Linked DNA regions of Canis lupus familiaris. The protein of the gene in region 2 interacts with the protein of the main gene of each other region in a pairwise test. Links are inferred from orthologs where the notes say so. Each region holds a gene or a part of one and is shown on either strand. Other genes may lie near its edges.

Region 1 (3,966 bases), on a different chromosome or scaffold from region 2:
GAGCTTGATAATATGTCTCCTTGATCCTGGGCTCGAACCTCCCACCACCCAAATGCATCTTCCCTATCTTAGATGTAAGCTACTTGATGAAAGAGGCTATTTCTTTCTCATTTTTTATGCTTCTCATATCACACCTTATTTAGCACTCAATAAATGTTTGCTGAACTAAGGTGGAATATTTGAGAATAACAGCAAGTAAGGGCAGGTACTTGGTTACAACATCCAATGCTATGTATATATGGACTGGCTCGATCAGATCAGCACAGCTGCTGTGTGACCTGACTTGACTTACATAATCTCCATAGGTCTCTTGTGTTGGGGGTGGTGGTGGAGGTCTGTACCCAGTTGGGGGAACTCCTCTTGCTCTGGGAGTGAGAAGTCCTCTTCCCCGACTCACTGGCCCTCGGGTGGAAAGGACTCCCCTGGAAGCTGGCGTCCCTCGTGGTACACCAACTCCAACTGGCCGGGTGGTGACTCCTCCCCTTCCCCTGCAAGCAAGAAGGTCAAGTTAGCAATATTCATCATATTCTCTACCATTCCATGGTTCACATGAATTTATATTTCAGAAAAATCAACGTTCCATATTTCTGTAAAGAGAAATAAGGAAATCATATGCAAAGTGAAAACTAAAACAAGTGAGAAACAACTACATAGCAAAAGGAATTTAAGTCATTTCGGTGGCTTATCCAGCAGCAATAAATAAAATAACAACAAAGAAACCCCAAGACTCAATTTCTGGCTAAGAGAGAGTAGGAAGCTATGACACGTGGGAAGGCTGCAGCACCTACTGAGGATCTCTCTGTGATGCCAGGTCAGGCTCACAACCAACCTTCATGCCAGCACTATGAAGTGGGCTGTATCTGCTTGTCTGTGGACAAGGAAACCGAGGCTACAGAGATCTTCAAACCGAGGACACACCACTAGCAAAGCTAGGGACCAAAGCATACATCAGAGTTCCATGAAAGAGAAAATTAAATGTACCTTCCCAAATAATGTACTGAACATTTAGTAATTTAAAATACCATTCTTAAGTTAAATAAACACAGATACTTTCTGAAGTAGAATTCAGCATATTTATGTATTTCTAACATAAAATATAAGATTTCAAGTCAGAGAGGAAGGAAGAAAGGAGCTGTATCAAGAAGAGCTCAACATAAGCAAAAACTTGAGAAAATGTGCAAGGCTTATGAAGAAATGAAGATGGAAAAATGCAGCTACACCACAGAATAAAGATTTGGCGTGATCCACCTGCCACAACATCCCCCAAATAAGGAGAACTGTCACAGATAATGTGGATGCCTACATGTCTTCTTCAGTTTGATTGGGATAACAAATACCTAGCTAAAAACAGAGAAAATTATCAAAACCAAAAGCTGTTTCTTTGAACGGATCAATATAATTGATAAACATCTCGGTATGCTAAACAAGAAAAATAAACAATATCAGAAATGAAATTGGGGTCCTCACTACTGACTGAAAGGGCATTAAAGGATATAAAGAAGATTACAAACTCAAGGCCTATAAATTTGTTAACTTAGATGAATTTCACTAATTCCTTGAAATATACAAATGACCAAATCCAAACCCCACAAATGGGGAATTAAGCAACTGGAATAAAGTTCTATTAAAGAACTTCAGTGAAAAAGTAATTACTAACCTTTCAAAACAAAAAAGCACCAGGGTCCCTGGGTAGCTCAGTCAGTTATGAACCCGACTCTTGATTTCAGCTCAGGTCATGATATTGGGGTTGTAAGATCGAGCCCCACATTAGGCTCCATACTGGCCATGGAGCCTGCTTAAGGTTCTGCCTCCCACTCTGCCCCCCTCCACCCCTCTATTAAAAAAAAAAAAAAAAAAAAAAAGAAAAGAAAATAAAAGAAAAAAAAAAGAAAAGAAAAGAAAAGCACCAAGCCCAGATGGTTTCACTGGTCAATTCTTTTATATATTAGTCTAGGGAAGATGCCAAGGGACTGGCCTAGCTGATATCTGACCTCCCCAGGAAGGGACATGTCATCCAAAGGGGAAAAAGGATGAGGCCTCCTAATAACCAAAGACATTATGAAATGAAACAAAACAAAACAAAACAAAATCCACATCTTTCCAAGAACAAAGGTGCACAATTCCTCAATAATAGTAGCGAATTAAATCCAACAATATATTTAAAAGGTATATACCATGACCAAGTGGGATTTATTCCAGGTATGTAAGGCTGGTTCAACATTAGCAAACAAATGTGACCTACTACATCAACAGGCTTAGGGGGAAAAAAAATCATATAATCATAAAGAGCAGAAAAAAACATCTAACAAAATACAACATCATTCATGATAAAAATTCTCGACAAAGCAGGAATAGAGGAAAATATCTCCAAGTTGAAACAAAGATCTACAAAAACCTACAACTACTATCATACTGAAAGGTAAGAAACTGGATGCTTCCCCCTTATGACTGGGAATAAGGTAAGGATGGCCATTCTTACTACTCCTATTCAAATTTTACTGGAAGTCCTAATTCAGTAAGAAAAGGGAATAAAACTTGTAAGATTGTGGAAGAAAAAATAAAATTTTATTTACAGGTGACATCATTTCCATGTAAAAATTCCCAAAGAATTAATCAGAACAAAATAAAACAAAGCAAGCAAACAAATAAAAACTCCTAGATCTTATTGCACAAACCAAGGTCTCAGAATACAGACAATAACTCAACAATATATATCATACAACAGCAATGGACAACTAAAATTTGAAATTAAAAGATAATTTAACAGTATTTGTTTTGGCAAGATATATACTAAAATTGTAATAATACCGAGAAGATTAGCAGAGTCTCTGCTCAAGGACAACATATCAATTTGTGAAGTATTTCATATTTCCCTATGCATGTCGGCGGGGGTGGAGGGGCAAGGGGCCTTTGGGAAATCTCTGTACCTTCCTCTCCATTTTGTTGTGAACCTAAAATTGCTGTAGAAAAAAAAAAGTCTTTAAAAAAATACACAATAAAAAAATTAAAAATACAAAGTAATGATAACATTTATTAAAGCAAGGAAATAAATGAAATGTTTTGGTACAAATCTAACAAAATCTAACTGTACAACTAACTATTCTATGTAGAAAACCATAAAACTCTGATGAAATAAATCAAAGGAGAAATATCCCATGCTTAACGATTATTACAGTCAATACTGTTCAGTTGTCAATTCTTCTCATCTTGACCTACAGACTCAATATAATCCCAATCAAAATCCCAGAGAAATACTTTGTAGACTGACGAACATATTCTAGAGCGTATATAGAAATGCAAAAGAGCCACAACAGACAACTTAATACTGAAGAAGAAAATTCTAGATGACTCACAGCATCTGACTTATTATGAAGCTACAGTAATCAAGGTAATAAGTATTGATGGAAAAAATATACACACAGAACAGTAGAACAAAAGAGAGAGCCCTGAAATTGATTCATAGAAATGTAGTCAAGGGACTACTGACAAAGAAGCAAAGACAATTCAATGAAATAGTGCTGGAACAAACAGACTTCTATGTGTGCCACAAAAAGAAAAAAAAAAAGAAACAGAAAAGAACCTAGACATATCTTTCACAAAAGTTAACTCAAAATGGATTTTAGACTTAATATAAAATATAAGACTTATAGAAGAAAATTCAGAAGAAATCAAGAAATCAGTGTGACTTTGGTTTGATGATGAGGTTTTTTTTTTTTTTTTTTAAGATTTTATTTATTTATTCATGAGAGAGAGAGAGAGAGAGAGAGGCAGAGACACAGGCAGAGGGAGTAGCAGGCTCCCTGCAGGGAGGTCAATGTGGGACTTGATCCAGGGTCTCCAGGATCAGGCCCTGGGCTGAAGGCAGCGCTAAACCGCTGAGCCACCTGGGCTGCCCTGATGATGAGTTTTAGATACAACATATAAAACGTAATCCATGAGCTAAAAATTGGTAAGCGGGACTTTCTT
Region 2 (4,522 bases):
AACATGTGAGCTTTGGGCGACAGTTGCTACAAACAAGATGGCCACTCTGACACTGAAGAATGGGTGGTAACACATAGTCAAAGCAGACCGGACACTCAAAAAGACTCGCCAAGTCATTGTTGGATGCGGTTGTGCCAGTCAGGGCGGGCACCCTCTGAGACGGGGTACACTTTGAGGTTCCAGTAGGTAATGCTGTTGCAGTCTGGCGGCTCATTTCTGTAACGAAAACATAAATAAAAATAAAAAGAGGCAGGAGAAATAATTAAAACTCTCACTTGTTTTATAAATAATGTTTACATGCCAGAAATACTTAAGTTTTATGAAAAACATACTGTGAGCAAAAAGAGTAAAGGATTTAAAAAAAAAAAAAAACACAAATTACACGAATTATGCATTTTGAGTATTATAGGAGTTGTGGACCAGATAAAATCTCTTTTATCAAAATGTCCCAAAACACATGTAGAATTCCCTTTCTTAAAAAAATATTAAAAAATCCCTTTGGATGAATTATACAATATGGAATAAATGCTGAAACAGAAACCAGACTGTAAACAACTAAGAAACCCTGTGTTAAGTAGCTTAAGTTCAACCAAAGCTGTTTTCACTGAACTTTCCCCTCTCCCTCGGTGTTCAATTGCCCTGCTCAGTCCATTTCTTTTCCATTCTAAGGCAGCTCGAAACAGTGACAGGGAGTCAGTCACAAGTAATCCAAAGGATCACCCAGGACATCAGCTCTGATTAACTCCGCCTAATGGCAAACAGTTATCTGCTTCAGTTGTAGATTTAGGGATGGAGGGGTCGTCAGGGGAAGGATCTGCTGCCATCCCATCATGCACCTTCATCTATTAAGTCTTCCCCTAGAATCTGAACACCAGCTACGTGTTAATTAATCTTACTTCCTACTGATCAGTAGGCCCCATAATAAAGGTGGGAGAAAGAGAAGAGAAATGGAGGGTAATCTCAAAAGTTTTTAGGTACTCAGAGAAAGTACATCTTTCTACTCTATTTCCATTGCACAATAAAATTACATATAATTTGAAAAGGGGAAGAAAAGAAGTAATTAAAGAATAAAGATTAAAACACCAGAGACACATGCAACATTGGGGACAGTAAACAGGTTAAGAATTCCTTGTATCCTAGGGTTCACTAGTGTTGCTGAAGCATTCATCAGCACAGGAATAAATATTATTTGAGATAAATGTCATCTGGAAGAAACGACAACAATGTAACTAGTTTGTCAGGCTAAATGAAAGATAAAGCAAATAAATACCTTTCCCAGGAATCTACTTTGTTAGGATATGACAGGCCATATTTGTCTCAGGGATAACAAAAGATCAGTCTACTGATGTCCCAAGACTGTATTCCCAACAACTATACAAACCATATTTCTAACAAAACTAAAACTGAATGCCTCAAATTTAATGCTTCCTCAATGTAATCATTATTGCTGCAAAGAACCTGACTTTAAGAAAACAACGCTGGTTACCCATGTGACTATATAAAAGCAACTGGACTTCTAGATTACTCAAGGATAGACACCAAGTGAGGGTTGAAGGTGACAAAAAAAATAGTCCACTGTCAACTAAAGTTAATATTCTACAATTCAAGAGTCTACAAAAGTACAGAATTCCACCATAAGGTGGCTTGTCACATGGACTTAAGGGACAACGGGAATCAATTCTCATCACCTGAAACACTGTACAACCCAGGTGTTTGATTCTTTGTGAGTACGATGATCCATGCATTTTCTACCACTTGGAAACAACGGGCTCAGCCTTGCCAAAATGCCCCACGTATATGCTGTATGCCTGTCTCGTGGTCCATTTTATACTGCTCACTTATGTGAGCAATGTTAGAATTGGAAAGTGGCTCCCTGCACACAAAACAGTCTAAACCACTGATGCCTTTTCAAATTACTAAACCAAACAAGCTAATCACATCAAGGAACAGTAAACTCGGCTTGTATTCAAAATAATAGAACTAGGAAAATATAAGCAAGAAAAATACTATCGTTTCATTTCCAGACCGAGCAAATAACTATACATAATCATCAATCATTCAGGCTTACATTCCAATATTATCTTTATTACTTTTGCAAACATTGTAAAAAAAACAAAAAACAAAAAACAAAAAAACAGTTTAAATCTCTAAAGAGTGAAAACAAGTGAAATGAGGCCGGTATTTCTTGCGAATGGAGGTATTACAGGACAGAAGGTGCTAAAACCTCCCAAAGCACCAAAGGTGGAACCCAGCTCCATCTTCAAACAAAAAGAACCCCAACCACAGAGCAGCCCTGCAGTAGGAACCACGGACTCAAGTGTCTTCAGACAACCCTGCAGGAGTGATGACGTAACCTGAAGCTTGGTTTAAACAGAGAAAAGTACAGTAGATCAAAAGAAACAGCAATGCAAACTAGAGCTCAATTACATTGCAGCCACTCCCTGATCCCGATTCCCCCAGCTCACAACTTTTCCCGGTTCATACTTTAAGCATCCCAGTCTCTTGGTGTCAATACCTTTTCTCTTCCTTGTCCCAGCTGCTGGCAGACATGTGAGCAAGACGCCCCTCCAGGAGTACGGAAAAGGTAAGGGAGACTTCCCGGTCATGAGAAGTCAGGCGGCTCATAGCCCTTCCCCCAGGAGCAAACACGATTTGTAACAGAGGCCCTGCTGGATGGACACGTTCTGCTCCTAAGCACGTCGGAGTTCAAGTCTTCAAGCAGCGAAGGTAAGCGCCCTGCTCTAGGATCCCCCATTCACTCCTCCGAAGCACCGGCTGCCGCAGCAGCAGAGGAACGAAGCCTCTCCCGTCCCCTCAGGAGTCCACCACACCTCCCCGCGAGCTCCAATTCGCCTGCGTTTCCAAAAATGGGCGCCATCACCGGAGCTGTCCTCCGCTGGGCCCTCAACCGCCTGCCCTGGAAGTTTGTCTTCCCCACATTCACTAGCCCGCCAGCGTGGGTGAAGGATGGGGCTGCAGGGTGCGCGGGGGCTGGTCAGGCGCACCCCGGAGCCAGCTCGGAGCTGCCGCAGGGTCCGGCCCGCCGGAGAGCCACGCGGGGCCCAGGGCTGGGCCTGGCGGTGCTGGGGGAGCCTGCTCCAGCCCGCAGCGCCCGCCGGCCTCCGCTCGCAGCGCCCAGCCCAGCCCAGCCCAGCCCAGCCGCAGCGAGCGCGGGGCGGGGCCGGCGGGGCCTGCGGGGCCGGACAGGGCGGGGCGGGGCGGGGCCGGCGCGGTGGTCACGCCCGCAAGCCCCGCCCCCCAGCCCAGGGCCGCTGGGGCGCTGCCCCGCACAACCCAGACCCTGCCCTCGACCCCAGGCAACACTGCAACCTCACCCATTTCCACAAGCTTACATTTAGTTCGAAACATGTCTTTCTGTAGAAAACAGATGCTGCCAATTCTGTATGATTTCAACCTAAGACCTACATAGAGTATATGAGAATTACGTGGCCAGAAAAGTGCTCTTCTCCTGGTTAACCATGTGTGAACTGTGCTCATAGAGTAAAAGCACTCTCCCCACTTCGTTCACTATATACTGGGCGTCAACGACCCGATTTCCTCAATTCTAACTCACTCCTCCACTTCTATCCCTGGTGACATCATACTTGAAACTCCTTCTCTTCCTTCGAATAGATTGCAGTGAGAGTAGTAAACACCCGTAACTCTATTAAACTCCTTCAACCTCCAAACTGAGATTATATTCTCTTCCCAGTCTGGGAAAACCATCTTAAATGGCCTCATTAAACAGAGAAGCTTGTGTTTTTAAAGAAGCATTACACGGGCCCCAATAAAGTCCTGGGCCTCAGATTTGCCCTGCGTCAGGTGGTACACTCAGGGGTTTAACCTGTCATTATATCATGCTTATAGGGCAGCCTTTAAACGCACAGCAGGAGCTCATGGTGGGAATGAACCCTGTGCAGTAAATTGTAGATTACCCATTTTCCAAATCAAATTTTAGTTCCAATCACTTCCAGACCCTATTGTATTCAGTCATTTCAACCTCACGTTAATATTAGGCTACATGAAACATCATTGGGAATAGAAATATGGATGAAGTTAGATAAAGTCTGCTCACTGACAAATATAAATTATTATTACCTACATTTTCATTTCCTAATACATTCACCCTAGAGCGGTCTCAGGCTGATAGGGCAGACGACTTCAAATGTTTTAGGCATCCCTGCCTTTCCAGAGTTAAAACTGAACCTAAATGTATAAAACAAGTCAAAGAGAAGGAATGATGGGGGGGAGGGGGGATCACTTTTCCCAAACTTCCGAAAGAGGTTACAGAGCCCTACAGAGTCTCTGAAAACCATTAACCTACAGACAAACCTCTCAACAAGTGAGTCAGGACAATAAAAGTGGCATCATTCTGGAGTCTCCTACACACAGCTGGATCCAAACCTAGTCTTCACCACCTGCTCAACCATAAAATGGGGACAAAATTTCCAGCCTCACGCAGCTTTTGTCTGGATTAAAGGAGATGGGTAATTCATGTACATCATAGATGGTATGCTACATA
Region 3 (3,966 bases), on a different chromosome or scaffold from region 2:
AGAGGAGTCCAGGTGAGGCCCCGAGGAGTGAACAGTCCATCAGGGATAAAGAAAGTGCAGGTGGCAGGATACGTTGCAGGTGGCTTTTTATTTTGACACTTCCAAAGTTTAAAGTATGAAATCTTCCACTCAGAGAAATGTCAAATTATCCCAAAGTTCTTAGTCAATGATCTTTTGTGTGGAGGTGGCAGGAATCTAATGCAAGTGGCTCAAAGAAGGGAGGATGCTGCTTGTGGTAGAAAGTCACCCAGGGATGGGCAGGCTCGAGACATGCCTGGATCCAGGCTGCAAACGGTGCTTTCCTCTGTGTGGGCTCTATGGTCTCTCCCATGCCAGAGCAGAGGTGGCCCCGGGTTCCATCCTGTCTGTTCCAACACAAGCTGTCATTAGGCGAGGGTCGCTTAGAGCTGAGCGGCCTGGACTGTGAGTAAGGGATAGGGGGGTGGCTCAGGGAACCAGGGCATCTGGAGGGGGGCTCCAGGGAACTGTGCTAGAGCACAGGGTGAAGCCAGGTTTCTGAGCCCAGAGGGTGGCCAAGTGGAGGCACATTTTAGCTCAGGATGAGAAAGTTCTTTTCTCCAGCATGGGCCTCCAAAGGACGGAGCTGGCTGTGTGGCTGGGAGTGAGTACCTGGTCTCTGGGCTGCTGTAGACAAGGTCAGCTCCATTTGGGGATTTTGACCTGGCAGCCCCGTGTTGCTTCCAGCTGGAGATACTCAGAGACAGGAATGCCTCAGGGGTGATAGGCTGACTCTGGGGCTGCCTATGCTTTCCCTGCAGGGAGTACACGGAAGATGGGCAGGTGAAGACAGAGACAAGGTATTCCTACAGTGAGTACCACCCCCACCCCCCTGCACACACGTGGTCTCTGCCCTTAGCCAAGGCTGACAGCAGTAGGGAAGGCATAGAACCAGGCATTGGGAGCCCTGGGTGCCCATCATGGGAGTCCTGCTCTTCCATCTGTCCAGTGAGGCTCTAGGAGCCACCCCTTCTGCCCTGGAGTGGCCACGGGCTTAGATAAAAGGACACAGAGCCAGTGGTCCTCAGACATATGGCCACTCTTACTATGGTTTCCGAGTTATTCCCTCTCCCTGTCACAGACACTGAATGGAGGTCAGAAATCGTCAACAGCAGAAACTTCGACCGAGAGATCGGCCACAAGAACCCCAGGTGAGAGCTGGGTGCCCAGGCCTGAGCATAGTCTTGCCTGCCAGTGGCAGGCCCCTAGCCCCAGCTTCCCCATCTGAGTGATGGCGTGGAGCTGCTTCTGCCTCATGAGTTGATGATAGTCGGGGACATGGTTCTGAGGCCGGCTCCTGTGGCACATGGAGGCAAGAGCTGACTTCCTGAGACCACACAGGCTCCCCTCAAGTCGTGAATGTGAGGCCTGGACTGAGTGCCTGAAGGAACTTGCACATCCAGTGCCAGGGAAGCATTCTGTTACCGGCTGTGGGGGTGGGAAGACAATCAGAAGGACTTTCAGGAGGCCATGAATTTGATGTAGGCCTTTGTAGGATGTTGGCAGAGGGCAGCTAGCTCAGAGACATGGGGGTGGTGAGATGGGCTTAGTGGTGGAGCCATGGGAGGGGCTTTGAGTCTGCACCGTGGCTGGCACGGGAGCTCCCTGTGGCTGGGGAGGGCCTGGGAGGGTCTGAAGTCCATCTGACAACGGGTGGCTGGGGAGGGGAAGGCCGGTAGGGGCCCTAGGTGAGAAGTTATGAAGCTCTGGGAGACAGGAAGAGGGTGCTCCACCCAGGCGAGGGGGACAGGAGTCTCCAGGGGCAGGTCTGGTAAACACAAGATGTCCCCAGTGCCTGGGCTGGTCTGGACTGGCAGGAGCGCCTGGGTGGGAACCCTGCCTGGTACAACCCAGAGACCCAGAGGGCTCCTGGCCAGTACCCTGCTCTGCCAATAGCTCTTTCTGCCCCACAGCGCAATGGCGGTGGAGTCCTTCACGGCAACAGCCCCCTTCGTGCAGATTGGCAGGTTCTTCCTCTCAGCAGGTGAGTCTCTGGCCCCTTCAGATGACCCAGCAGCACCCAGAGGCCGTGTGCTTCTACTTGGCCGCCTCGCAGGAGCTGGGGTCCCCGCTGCCCCGGGTGTGGGATCGGCCTGCGCTTTCCCGGCATCATACATTGGGCTGGGGGCCAGAGGGAAGGCAGGTAGGTCCCGGGGAGGTGGGAGACTTGTGTAGAGCAGCCCCATCCCAGCCAGGTTCCCCTGAACACGGTTTCTTCCAAGTACTGCTGGTGCCTGGTCTGACCAGACAGAGCTGAGGGCCTTCCTAAGCGGTCCCAGAGCCAGCCGTAGAGACAAGGCTGCCCCCCACGGGCTCCACCTCTGAGCCCCACCCAGCGTGCAGCAGTTCACTGCAGGCCCCTCCGAGTGACTCCAGACAGAGGCTTTCCAGGGACAAGGCAACACTGCCGGCCACAGTGACTCCTGGGGTGGGAGAGAAGCACAGGCCCCAAATAGCCAGGGTAGGGAGGAGGGGTGGAGGCCCAGCACAGTCAGGGCAAGGGAGGAGAGGCCGGGCCCTAGGGCCTGGCTCGTGTGGCTGCCGTGCTGCTGGCTGCTGTGCCTGGCAGCCCTGGCCTCAAGTGTCATGCAAGCAGCAGGGGAGCCAGGCTCAGGCAGGGGCTCAGGCTGTTCTCAAAGCCGCAGCCACTCTTGCTGCCCCGAGAGACAGCCAGGGAGGCTTCCTAGAGGAAATGGAGACTGAAGGGGGCAGCAGTAGGGAAGGAGGGATTGGAGATCCCGGCGCTCCCCTTGGGAAGGAGGTCAGGCTGTGGGGTGTGCAGGTGGTAGGGAGGTTGTTTGCACACCAGTGTTGTAACCGCTGCACACTCCTCAGGCCTCATCGACAAAGTAGACAACTTCAAACCGCTGAGCCTGGCCAAGCTGGACGACCCGCACGTGGACATCATTCGCAGGGGAGACTATTTCTACCACAGCGAAAACCCCAAGTACCCAGAGGTACACAGGGCTTTGGGCTGTTCACGTAGCAGAGATCAGGGCCTTGGAGTGCCCCTCCCCCCGTCTTCCCGCCCCACAACATAGAGGAGGCACATTCCTGTTTGGGACTCGGATTCGGTTCAGTTTAATCCACCTGGCCAAATGAAATTGGAGGGGGCACCTGGGCCATGGTATGGAAGCGGGAGAGCAGTGTGAGCCTTGGGGTTTGGCGGTGCTGGGGACATGGGCCCAGGCTGGCTGCCCCGGGCCTCACTCAGCCCCCCGCTCTTCACTCCCAGGTCGGAGACGTGCGTGTGTCCTTTTCCTATGCGGGGCTGAGCGGCGACGACCCGGACCTGGGCCCGGCTCACGTGGTAACCGGCTTCCCCTGCGCGGACCCAGGCAGAGCCACCTCACCTCCCGCTGTGCACGGGGCCCTGAGCGCATGGGACCCTTCCTGTGTGCGTGCACTCCCGTGGGCACACGGCGGGCGTGCCTTGAGCGGCCTCAGCCCTGTGTGCACCACAGCTATCCATGGACACCCGTGGGCCCCAGGATAAGGGGCCTTTCTCCTGCTGCTTTAGAGGGCCCTCCTGGGAGAGTTCCTCCAATTGCACACTCCTTTTCTCCCCCCAGCCCCCAGGCTTTGCTCTGTAAATACTTGGTCTCCAGTCTGTGACCCTGTCACGTGTCACATGCAGTTTCACCCCTGGCCCCGGCCCTGACACAGGCTTCTGCGCCAGGTCCTCCCTGGAGTTGTGAGTGGGCTGGATCTCCTCACTCTCCTTGCAGGCACATGGTGCGAGGGCTGCCGGGGCCTGGCCGCCTGATCCCCTCAGCTCTAACCCTGAGGTCTCTGACCAGGTCACTGTGATTGCCCGGCAGCGGGGTGACCAGCTGGTCCCCTACTCCACCAAGTCGGGGGACACCTTGCTTCTCCTGCACCACGGGGACTTCTCGGCAGAGGTGAGCTGCTGCTGCCCATCTGTGTGTTGGAGGGGCAGGCGTCTCC
Region 4 (2,921 bases), on a different chromosome or scaffold from region 2:
GGTAAGGAGCTGTTCCTAAAGAACACAATCAACTATTTCTTATGATGTGAGCTTTGCAGCTTCTCGAAGGCTACTGAGCATTTGCCGTACTTGGGTTTCCACATTCAGACTGAGTCTGCCCAAGGGAAAGGGAACAACAGCTGCCACAGTGCAGTGCATCTCTGTCACCGATCCTCCTGACAGGGCAGGTTTCTATAGGGTGGCACGTGGACTGCAGAAAGCTTCACCTTGAGAGTTTGTTTCCTAGGTGTGTACTACGATGAAAACTGTAATAGCGATAATCTGAACCATGCAGTTTTGGCAGTGGGATATGGCATCCAGAAAGGAAACAAGCACTGGATAATTAAAAACAGGTAATGATGGGGATACTAAGTTTGGCACTCGATCCCCCTATTAGCACTCAACTTCAACTCCAACTTCCCAATATTTCTTTCTCTCTCTTCAAGAGAAAGTCGTCTCAAACTTTTTAGTTCTCCCTTCCCAATCAGAGGCTATTAGTTCTAACATATCATGGCCAGACAGTAGTACTCAGAGTATGTGTTGGGCAGCTGCCCCACATGCAAGGTACTTAGTTGTATAGCAAAGAACAGAATGTTTGCCTTTGGTGATCTCACAGCCCCTTAAGAAAGACCTAACTAACCAGAACATACAATAGCACCAAGAAACCAGCAGGAAGTTTGGAATTACATAGTTTTTTATTTCTTTTTTCTATAATGTGATCAATATCTTAGGAAGCTTTCCATCATCAGTCTGTTTGTAAGCAGTAGGGAACCAATGTAAAGATTTATATCCAGTTGTGCAACTTTTTGCCCGTCCAGATATACTTAGGATAACATATATAAAAATTGGCCAAAGATTTTGATGTCTGTGAAGAGAAACACTTTTTGGGAAGTAGATAAGACAACAACAACAATTAGTGTTTCCTTCCCTATTACTGGGAGTAAATAAAACCTACAGTGTTCTTTGGCTCCCCTTTTGTGACTTTGGAGGGTAAACTTAATGAGAATTATACTTTTCCTTTCCTCATCGGCCAATACCAGCCTGGCAACAGCACTAACTAAACTCTCTGTCCTTGGTGCCTTCAGTGGACAGGAGTCTTAGACTCTGAGGAGTTCACAGGCCAGAACAGTGCTATAAGCAAGTTGTGCTGCTGTCTAGAGGACTGGAAGGATAGAATGTGTAGATCACAGTCCCAACTAAGGCTGAACCCAAACACCTTTCTAAAAAGGTACTCCTCCCACAGTTTCTGTCCTATGTTCTCCCTTTGTCGACTCCCAGCCCCAAGTACTTACTCTGTCCTTCCCTGGTCAGGTGCCAGAGGTGGAACATGATCTAGGAGAGCTGGGAGGAATAAGGGACACACTTAAGCAGGGTCAGGATCACTGGACACCCCTAGAGAAGGGAATAGGAGTGGGGTAATGGTGTTAAGCAAAATGTATTGGGTAACTGGAGAATTTGCTGTTTGAGGGAAAAGGACAGAAAACTCATGGAAACTATTTAGGAAGATACATAGACCAATCTCCTCTCCCACACCCCATTGTCTTCCATTCTCTCCACTTCTTTCCTCAGCAGTCTCATTCATTCTCGTAGCTTCATCTCTCCTTTTGGGTTTACCCAGTAAGACCAAGATCACCAGTTTCAGCCTCTCTTACTTCTTTCTTATGCTCTAGATTCATGATTTCAAGATTATTCTTCCTTAAACACAAGTTGGACCATATTACATTCCCAATCTGAAACTCTCAGTCTCTCTTCCACTAGAATGGACCACAGAATTGAACTCTTTAGGCTGGCAGTAAAGATAATTCAACCTGATCTCAATATACCTTTCCAGGCATATGTCCTACTGTACCCTGTCAAACACGCTATTTTTCAGTCACCTAATCTTCACACATGTCTCATGCTTTCCTGCCTTTAGTATTTCATACTCCTCTGCTGGCATCCCATTTGCATGGGTCTATCTAGTCTTTGGGCTCACTTCAAATGCTGCCTCTTGCATTAAGCCTTTTTTGATTCCTTGATCACCGCAGTCTCCCCTGTCCTTGAGGCCTCTAGCATTATGCCTTCTCTCCTTTCCTTTACTTTAAATGCTTTAAAGGTAAAAACTGTTTTATTCATTTTTTATACCATCAGTACCTAGCACAATAGTCAGTAAGTGTTTTAATGAATAAATAAACTTAGGGTACTAAGTATTTTCCTTCATTGGTCCTACAGCTGGGGAGAAAACTGGGGAAACAAAGGCTATATCCTCATGGCTCGGAATAAGAACAACGCTTGCGGCATTGCCAACCTGGCCAGCTTCCCCAAGATGTGACTTCAGCCAGCCAACCTCATCCTGCTTTTCCATTCCTTCCATGATGGAGCAGCATACTGATGTACTTTGGGAGAGAGTCAGTGTGCCTTTTCTGAAGCAGTTGTAGCAATATAGAGATTGTCCACTCAGTTTCCCTGTTTGTGCTTCAAGTAACACCCCTACTATTTGCCTTCTCTCCACCCAAGGCCTTTATTTTTCACTGTGCCCACAGTAGGAATTTCCCTAACAGGATGCATTCTTAGGCTAAGAGATATGCCCACAGCCTGACCAGACTGTTGTCCTGAGGCTGATGCTATGCGGAGAGTCAGAGGCTAGAGATCTTCAGACAGATTCTCATTCTCAGTGACTAGTTAGCTTTAACCACCTACAGGACTAAGGTGACCTGACCTCTCCAAGTTCACTTCTATATCCTGAAAATAGAAATTTCTATTTTTTCCACCCCAATTAATAAATCTATTCATAAATCTTTGGTACAAGTTCATGTGATACAAGAAATGTGTTTTCTTCTTTGCATTTTTACAGTAAACTAAGTATCTCTTGTCTCTAATTTAATAAATACCTATTTAGTAAACATTCATTTTGTGTCAGATACTGTGCTAGGTGCTAGAGA

Evidence for each region.
Region 1: the proteins of SIAH1 (region 2) and KHDRBS3 interact in a two-hybrid assay, tested with the Homo sapiens proteins (3 studies listed by BioGRID and IntAct). The link is inferred for Canis lupus familiaris from reciprocal best matches to the Homo sapiens genes SIAH1 and KHDRBS3.
Region 3: the proteins of SIAH1 (region 2) and TMEM43 interact in binary tests that used the Homo sapiens proteins (3 or more experiments, as listed by UniProt). The two-hybrid records come from large-scale screens. The link is inferred for Canis lupus familiaris from reciprocal best matches to the Homo sapiens genes SIAH1 and TMEM43.
Region 4: the proteins of SIAH1 (region 2) and CTSK interact in a two-hybrid assay, tested with the Homo sapiens proteins (2 studies listed by BioGRID). The link is inferred for Canis lupus familiaris from reciprocal best matches to the Homo sapiens genes SIAH1 and CTSK.

What each region holds. Positions count from the first base shown.
Region 1 is NC_049234.1:32,045,572-32,049,537, reverse strand, and holds part of KHDRBS3 (KH domain-containing, RNA-binding, signal transduction-associated protein 3), read right to left. Parts: intron 2,874-3,966; exon of another isoform or gene 2,769-2,873; intron 489-2,768; coding exon 293-488; intron 1-292. UniProt on the Homo sapiens protein: RNA-binding protein that plays a role in the regulation of alternative splicing and influences mRNA splice site selection and exon inclusion. Binds preferentially to the 5'-[AU]UAAA-3' motif in vitro.
Region 2 is NC_049223.1:65,986,420-65,990,941, reverse strand, and holds the start of SIAH1 (E3 ubiquitin-protein ligase SIAH1), read right to left. Parts: upstream 3,104-4,522; 5' UTR 2,607-3,103; coding exon 2,516-2,606; intron 217-2,515; coding exon 1-216. UniProt on the Homo sapiens protein: E3 ubiquitin-protein ligase that mediates ubiquitination and subsequent proteasomal degradation of target proteins.
Region 3 is NC_049241.1:4,315,509-4,319,474, forward strand, and holds part of TMEM43 (transmembrane protein 43), read left to right. Parts: coding exon 1-12; intron 13-779; coding exon 780-829; intron 830-1,099; coding exon 1,100-1,169; intron 1,170-1,931; coding exon 1,932-2,002; intron 2,003-2,853; coding exon 2,854-2,975; intron 2,976-3,253; coding exon 3,254-3,328; intron 3,329-3,746; coding exon 3,747-3,920; intron 3,921-3,966. UniProt on the Homo sapiens protein: May have an important role in maintaining nuclear envelope structure by organizing protein complexes at the inner nuclear membrane. Required for retaining emerin at the inner nuclear membrane.
Region 4 is NC_049238.1:60,586,844-60,589,764, reverse strand, and holds the end of CTSK (cathepsin K precursor), read left to right. Parts: coding exon 1-1; intron 2-247; coding exon 248-353; intron 354-1,292; exon of another isoform or gene 1,293-1,392; intron 1,393-2,211; coding exon 2,212-2,311; downstream 2,312-2,921. UniProt on the Homo sapiens protein: Thiol protease involved in osteoclastic bone resorption and may participate partially in the disorder of bone remodeling. Displays potent endoprotease activity against fibrinogen at acid pH. May play an important role in extracellular matrix degradation.